2 linked regions of the Rattus norvegicus genome follow. The protein of the gene in region 1 interacts with the protein of each later gene in a pairwise test. Links are inferred from orthologs where the notes say so. Each region holds a gene or a part of one and is shown in the gene's direction. Other genes may lie near its edges. The genes, in order: Mid1 and Ubtd1.

Evidence for each region.
Region 2: the proteins of Mid1 (region 1) and Ubtd1 interact in binary tests that used the Homo sapiens proteins (3 or more experiments, as listed by UniProt). The two-hybrid records come from large-scale screens. The link is inferred for Rattus norvegicus from reciprocal best matches to the Homo sapiens genes MID1 and UBTD1.

Annotation. Positions count from the first base shown.
Region 1 is NC_086039.1:27,715,851-27,719,670, reverse strand, and holds part of Mid1 (E3 ubiquitin-protein ligase Midline-1), read left to right. Parts: intron 1-2,573; coding exon 2,574-2,722; intron 2,723-3,820. UniProt on the Homo sapiens protein: Has E3 ubiquitin ligase activity towards IGBP1, promoting its monoubiquitination, which results in deprotection of the catalytic subunit of protein phosphatase PP2A, and its subsequent degradation by polyubiquitination.
Region 2 is NC_086019.1:250,792,094-250,795,770, forward strand, and holds the end of Ubtd1 (ubiquitin domain-containing protein 1), read left to right. Parts: intron 1-462; coding exon 463-690; intron 691-1,948; coding exon 1,949-2,334; 3' UTR 2,335-3,003; downstream 3,004-3,677. UniProt on the Homo sapiens protein: May be involved in the regulation of cellular senescence through a positive feedback loop with TP53. Is a TP53 downstream target gene that increases the stability of TP53 protein by promoting the ubiquitination and degradation of MDM2.

The DNA of each region.
Region 1 (3,820 bases):
AGAGTAGACCAAGGAGAGAAAGAAACTATCTTCAGATTCCTTTTCTTTAAAACTGAAATGCTAAGCTCAATTCCAAAGCAAACAAAGAAATCTTCAGTTTCTAAAACTACAGCCAACAAAATCAGCAGCATTATCTTATTTCCAGTGAGATTAGTTTTGCAGAAGAGGACACAGGCTTGCAAAGAAACAGTTCAGAAATAAAGAAATCACAGACAAAAAGGACTCAAAGAAGAAACTCATAGCTCAGAATGCAATAAATAAGTTTTGGAGGTAAACTCATAGACAATTATGCAACAGAAAATGGCTACAGAAGAAATTGGGCAACTGAGTTTTGGCCTCTGCCTGGAGAAGACCATAAATGTAAGGAGGGACAAAAGAGTCTGGGTGACATTCAAGCAGCACAGATATCCATGGATTCAAAGATTAAAGTTAGATTGGTATTTTAAATGCTAGTCCTGACCATACTAGTGATTCATCACCTGGAGATTTAAAATCATTCATTGCTCGTTAAAATGCAAATTAGTGTTGCTCTGCCAATTATAGCTCATTAACTAGAATATTGGAGGATGTGCCCAGACATCTAAAGTTTTCCTTTGAAAGCTCCCCAGCTGATTCTTTTGCATACAGTGTATGAGAATCTCTGATGCCACTGTAAACTGGCCTATAATTAAAAGTATGTCCTATATGGAAGTTCTCTTTAGAACACTGGTAGTTTCACAGGACACTCTCAATTTCCTTTATATCGATATATGCAGTTTGGGGTTTTGTTTTCTTGTTCTTATATATCATCTTTAACTTCCAATATCCTCATAGAGAAAACAGAAAAATATGAAGTTGAAGAGTAGTCATTGTTACATTTGTCCTATGTGTGGTCTCTACTTTATATATTCAAAGGATAAGAGATGGCATGAAATGACTCCAAAAGAAATTTTGACCTCATTTTCTTTTGTGAGAATTATACCAAATGCCTTCAACTTGGCCATGCAATTTAAATTATTCTTTAGTTATATGATTAAATATTCTATACATTTGGTTTATTGTAGACACTGTTAATTTATTTTCCCTTCTGGAATTTTCCCTTCCTCTGGCAGTTTCTAATAGCTGTGTTCTAACATCCTGAATTAGACTGCAGGTCTGTCTTGACCTTGACTATCTATATAATGTTGCCAGAAGCTCTGTTCTATTTGGTGTAAAATGGCATTATTTTTTGTCCATATCCTGATATGGACAAGAACTATCATTATAATGAACGATGTATTTTTACCATGCTTGAGATCACATACTCTTAGCTGCCAAGTTTGGACATTTCATTCTGACTCATTATTTTCATAGATTCTTTCAACCTTGCCTAAAATCATGGGCTCAGCACCTCACAATTCAGCTGTAGTTTCCTTTGTTTGCCATAGTACACATGTGGAATTGGACATTCCCTGGAATTCTACAGATCTGACATCTCCTTCCTTCCTTCCTTTGCTTCAAGATTAGAGTTGTCCTGGGATGATAGTGATGACTTGGAGAAAGCAAAAATTCCTTTAAGTTAGCAGGAATTCTGGAGGGAGTTTGAGCCTGCCTTGTCCGTAAGACAGATTAACCAGGCGTCCTCCCTACCCTTTCACCCAAGGCTATTTTCCATTCCGGAATTATCAGAAAACCAGCCAAAACCTGTCCCCTCTTGTGTAGGTGGGGCCAGTAGGCACGAGGTGATTCCAATTACTGGTCTAATTTTAACTTGGCTCCTGGCCGGAGGGCTTCAGCTTATAGCACATTTCAAACACCAGAGCCTCAGTCAAGTGGCTTACCGTGGACTTATCTTGGCCTGTGAGAGGTTATGGATAATTATGTTGGAGGGTTTTTTTTTCAAGCAACACAGAATTAAGACCTAGAATGGAGATTGCAAAACAACTATGTGTTTTATCCCAAATGGGAAATGCTTATCAAAACAGTTAACTTATCAAGTGAGCACAAAGTGACTGGAAATGACGTTTACAGTGAGAGGAAATGGCCCAGCTGTGCTTTTTTTGGCTTTCTCTCATCAGTTCAATAAGAAAAATATTAATCAATGGGAAAAATGTTCCCCTTCTATTAATTTAATACACAAGTTTTAGGCAGTATGGAAAATAGGAATATCTAATACTTTCATGTCACAACTTTATTACATGGATTACAAAGAATGTTTTATGAAACTTTTTTTAACTTAAGACTCAAATTTATACCTATAGAAATGCTTTATTTTCCTAAGGGCATACTGAAAACCTGAGATGGAGTAAGTTCCAGGGTTCCCTAAGGTCCTGAAGTAATTATGTAGGATAGTTGAGGGAAGAGGTTTAGTGACCCTTTGTCACTTGCCACTGAACAACACCTCCCCCCCATCAACAGAGAAGTAATTAGCAATGCAATGCTTCCTCATAAAACAAATTATTAATGTTTCTTCAAGGACAGAAAGTATAAGTTCTGTAATTGTGTCTTCCAGATTTCAATCTCTCTCTTCTTAAACATAAGAGACTGTGCAACTCTGAAGGGTCCATCCCTGAGCCATCTCTCAAGTGTAACCTACCATGCTTCTTTTCTTCTAGGTGATGAGGCTCCGCAAATTAGCTCAGCAGATTGCAAACTGTAAACAATGCATTGAAAGGTCTGCATCACTCATTTCCCAAGCAGAACACTCACTGAAGGAGAATGACCATGCCCGTTTTCTACAGACAGCAAAGAACATCACTGAGAGGTGGGTGCAGGGACAGTTGGGAAGTTTTCAGACTGCTGATTGCTTATGTCTGGGTTTGACTGGTTGGCCTTGCTCTCAAACTGACTCCTTTTCTGTTTGAGATTGATCACCAGAGAGAATAGAAGCTTTTGCTATTTTGCTCCAGTTAAGTGACAAAAGCAAAACAAAACAAAACAAAACAAAAAAAAAATCCTTTCCATAACAGCCTATAGTTCAGGGTCTTTTTATCAAAAGGTTCACCAGTTAGACTAAAATCAACCATTTTGTGTGTGGAGGAGTGCTGGGGGTGGGGTGGTGGTACAGAAACATCATTTGTTGTAATTCTCAAATTTGATCTTATCACGTCCTTATTATCAAAGAATGAAGGTGCAGTCAAAATACATAAAAGGGAAACATGTTTTCCACTGCATGGTTCACTTTTTTAAAGAAAACAACTGCTGCACGGTGTTGTTTCTGTTAGTCCTGTTTTTACTTGACTGAAAATGTTGACATCACCAGAAAAGGCCAAGACTGATTAATGTGGGAGAGAAAGGTCAAATGATCAAGCTCCCACTGCCTTAGTTTAGAATACCTTCTGTTTCTGGGGAGGAAAATTAGAAATGCTGTTACTGGTATAGTGACTTCAGCATTAAGATAGGTGAAGGTTAGTCTTCTCTTGGTCCACCGACATGCTTAGTATAGAAATTACTCATTTCCCTGGTCATAGACCCATATAATGAATCCAGCGGATCCCAAGAGAAGGCTGGCCTGTATACAGCCCTTTCTAGATCAATGACATCACAAAACATCACCAAACACTTTGACTTTTCATTTATTCTAGTTCCTTTTTATGCACACCTTTACAGAATTGTGTCATAAAAAGGCCCCAGAAAACTCATTCATCCTAGCCTTTATCCTAAAGCAGACACCACCGTACTGTTTCAGAAAGTAAATTATTTTCAGCTTTGCAGACTATAAGGGATTTATCACAGTTATTCACTGCTGCCTGGGTAGCTCCATGTTAGCCACAGGGAGCAAATAGGTGTGGCTGTTTGCCAATGAGTCCATTCACAAAACAAGCTGCAGGTGTTCCTTTACCAACCCATGGTCTTAGAGGGG
Region 2 (3,677 bases), on another chromosome or scaffold:
GTAAGCTGAAGTACTTCTGTACAGAACATGCTTGGCTCCGGGGCTAGAGAGATGGTTAAGTGGTTAGTGAGTGGTTAGTGGTTAAGAACCTGCTCCTCTTATAGATGACCCAGGTTTAGTTTCACCTCCCCTGTGGCAGCTCACAGCCATCCATTACTCCAGTTCCTAGAGATTTAACACCCTCCTCTACTGCTTTCCTTAGCCACTAGGCGTGGACGTGGTGCACACATATAAAATAAGAGTAAATACATACAAGGGACAAGAGCATCCTTGCCTGGAGTGTGTACTTCATATTCCTAACTTGGTTTCCACACTCTCCCCTGCTATTCAGAAAGTGTCCTGGTGCCCTAAATACATAGGGCCTGGTGCAGTGAAGTCCCTGATAGGCCAGGCTGGAGAGAGGGTCGGTTATGGCTTAAGTGGCTTTGGAGATGCTGAGCATCTGCGTCTGTCTTGCCCCAGGTCGCAATGAGCCCTTGAAGAAGGAGCGGCTCAAGTGGAAGAGTGACTACCCCATGACTGATGGGCAGCTGCGGAGCAAGCGAGATGAGTTCTGGGACACAGCGCCTGCCTTCGAGGGTCGCAAGGAGATCTGGGATGCCCTCAAGGCTGCTGCCTATGCTGCTGAAGCCAACGACCATGAGCTGGCTCAGGCCATCCTGGATGGAGCCAGCATCACCCTGCCTCATGGTGAGCAGGCAGGGCCTGGGCTCTATTCTGACCTGGTCTGGGGGTGGGGGTTTCATTAGTACAGAGGTGGAAAGCCAGTCACATGTGAGAAGCTTCTGTTTAGTGGAGATGATGGAGTATGGGTATGTGTGGCTGTCTTGTTCATTTAAACAACTCTTTATGGCATGAACAAAAAAACACGACACAAAACTAAGCATAGTAACACCTGTCTGTGATTATGAGAGGTAGACACGGGAGTCTGAAGTTCAAGTTTAAGGCCAGCCTAGATTACATGAGACTGTCAGGTGGATAGAAGAAGAGTAGGAGGGATGACGGACAGGACCCTCCTTTTCCTAATGAGAAGACAGAAAGGCACCAATAAAACTAATAAAGAGCTAAAGGCTTGCTGGAGACACTCAGGGCCTCAGACAGCATTTGCGGCCCTGATCTGGAGCCTTCTGCTGCATTTCCGCGTTTCTGCCCCTAGCACACTCACTAGCTGTGAAGGGAAAGTAACAGCAGACCTTCAGTCACAGACCTGGGTCTTGACCGTGTTCCTTTCTCAGCTTGTGACCTTTCCTTGCCGTGTGTCCCAGAGCAGGGCAAGTCTTGGGGTGGAGCCTGAGCCCCTTGCAATCACAATGGATCAATCACGATGTGCACAATACCACCTGTCCAGTACCAGCCTCAGGAGGATGCTGGAGACTAAGTAACTGTCCCATCCGCACTATATTACACCAGTAGCAAACTGGGGCCTAACCCACACCTAGCACCTGTACTCAGCCAGAATGCGGAATAAACACGTGAAAGGTAGTGTCATGGCTGAGGGAGCTGGCACCTGATGACTAGGCAGTTAGCCCCAGAGTCCTGACTGTGGAGTAGGACTGGGGACTGTGTGCTATCTGTAGTGGGCAAGTTTACCTGCTCACACTGCTGTAACAGAGACCACAGGCGGGAGGGTTCCTTAAACATTAGAAATTTGTCTCACAATTCAAGAGACTGGAAAGTCCAAGATCAAAGGGTCAGCTGTTTAGTCCTGGTGGTGCTTCTTGCTGTTTTGCTGGTTTGCGTGGTAGGCACGCAGGACTGGGCAGGGTCTCTGGGGCTTTTCCTTGTAAGGAAGCTGGTTCTATCAGATTGGGCCCTTGTCATTTACTTGTGTAATCTTATTCCTTCCAAATATGCCTCAACATGGGAATTTTGGGGGGCAGGGTGGGACAGCATTCAGTGTGTGACATCGGGTCCCCAGACCACACTGATCTCCCTGCCTTTCCCACAGGAACTCTTTGTGAATGCTATGACGAGCTGGGCAATCGCTATCAACTGCCCATCTATTGCCTGTCACCGCCTGTGAACCTGCTGCTGGAGCACACAGAGGAGGAGAGCCTGGAGCCTCCTGAGCCCACCCCTAGTGTGCGCCGTGAATTCCCACTGAAAGTGCGCCTCTCCACAGGCAAGGACGTGAGGCTCAGTGCCAGCCTGCCTGACACAGTGGGGCAGCTCAAGAGGCAGCTGCACAGCCAGGAGGGCATTGAGCCATCCTGGCAGAGATGGTTCTTCTCTGGGAAGCTGCTCACAGACCGCACAAGGCTCCAGGAGACCAAGATTCAAAAAGACTTTGTCATCCAGGTCATCATTAACCAGCCCCCACCACCCCAGGACTGAAGGCATCTGACTCCTGGGGAAAGAGGCCATGGAGGTCCCCTGCAGGCTGTGGGGCCCAGGCCTGTTGCTGCCTTCCAGTGCTGCTGTCTTCAGGGTCGCCTCCCGCCACCCTGCCGTATGGCTCTCAGTGAGCTGGGAAGGGACTGGCCTTCCAGGGCACTGGATCAACCAGTGCTCAGCACCCAGGGAGCAGTGCTGCCTGCCACACACAGGCCTTGCCAACCTTGTCGGAGAAAAGGCACGTGGCACTCTCCGCCACAGGTTGGAACCATGGGGGCCGTCCTGCAGACCTGGAACCCAGATCTGTCATCTGGTGCCACCACTGTGCTCACTCCAGTTTTCTGCTCAGGGTCGGAAGCAATTGCTGTCTCCCCCTTTATCCCTCACCATAACTCTGCCCTGGGCACAGTACCAGTCCCCTGGATGGGGAGGGAGCCCAGTGTGCCCCAGGGCTTGAGGAGCTTGAGGTGGGCCTCTCTGTCTCTTCCTGCACCCAGCACAATCTGCAGAGATGAGGCAGGTGGCCAGATAGGCTTTATGGCAGAGGTTTGCACAGGGCTATCTCCAACTGTAACCCAGGCAGGGTGGGTCGGAAGCCTGGCCATGGCCCCAGCTGGGCCCTGTGTACACACACATCTGCATTTTATCAATAAAGCCTTTGCTCCTCTTTTGCCTAGCACATGACTTCACATTTCACAGCATGGTGGAGCCCGGAGCTTCTGCTGGTTTGGCTACAGACAGGCACAGCAGAGCATCCAACCTGATGCTCCTCCTGTGGGCCCTGATCTCATCCAACCTCGATGTGTTCCTGCGGGTTCTGGAAAGCCACTTCTCCTCCAAATGCACTTTGCTCTTTATAGAGACGGCCTCTGCTGCTGCCTCCTGCAGCAGTTGCTGGGAGAGTTAAGTGTGTGGGGCACTGGGGTGGGGGTGGGGGGCAGATATGAAAGAGTGAAGGAGCATCCACAGAAGGCAGCATAAGCTCTGTGGCAGCCACCCCACACAGCCCTTGTGGGATCCTGGAGATGCAGTGTCCATGCTGTGTCAGAGCATGGGATGACAAGAGGCAGAGGCAGACGGGGCTGATCCCTCGTGTTTCTTCTGCGGAACTGTGCACCTCACCAGAGGGGTCTCTGCAGGCGCGTCGCTTGCAGGTGAAGCGCACAGCATTTGTAGGCCACTGGCAGGTTAAACCTAGGTCACGACAACCCAGGGCTCCAGGCTTGCAAGTCCCGGGTGAAGAGCTCAAGTACAGGTCTGCCTTTGCTCTGTGTATTCTGTGGTCATCTCTGCCCAAGGCAGTCTGGCATTGCCTAGCTCTGAACTCTGACTTCCTAGACTCT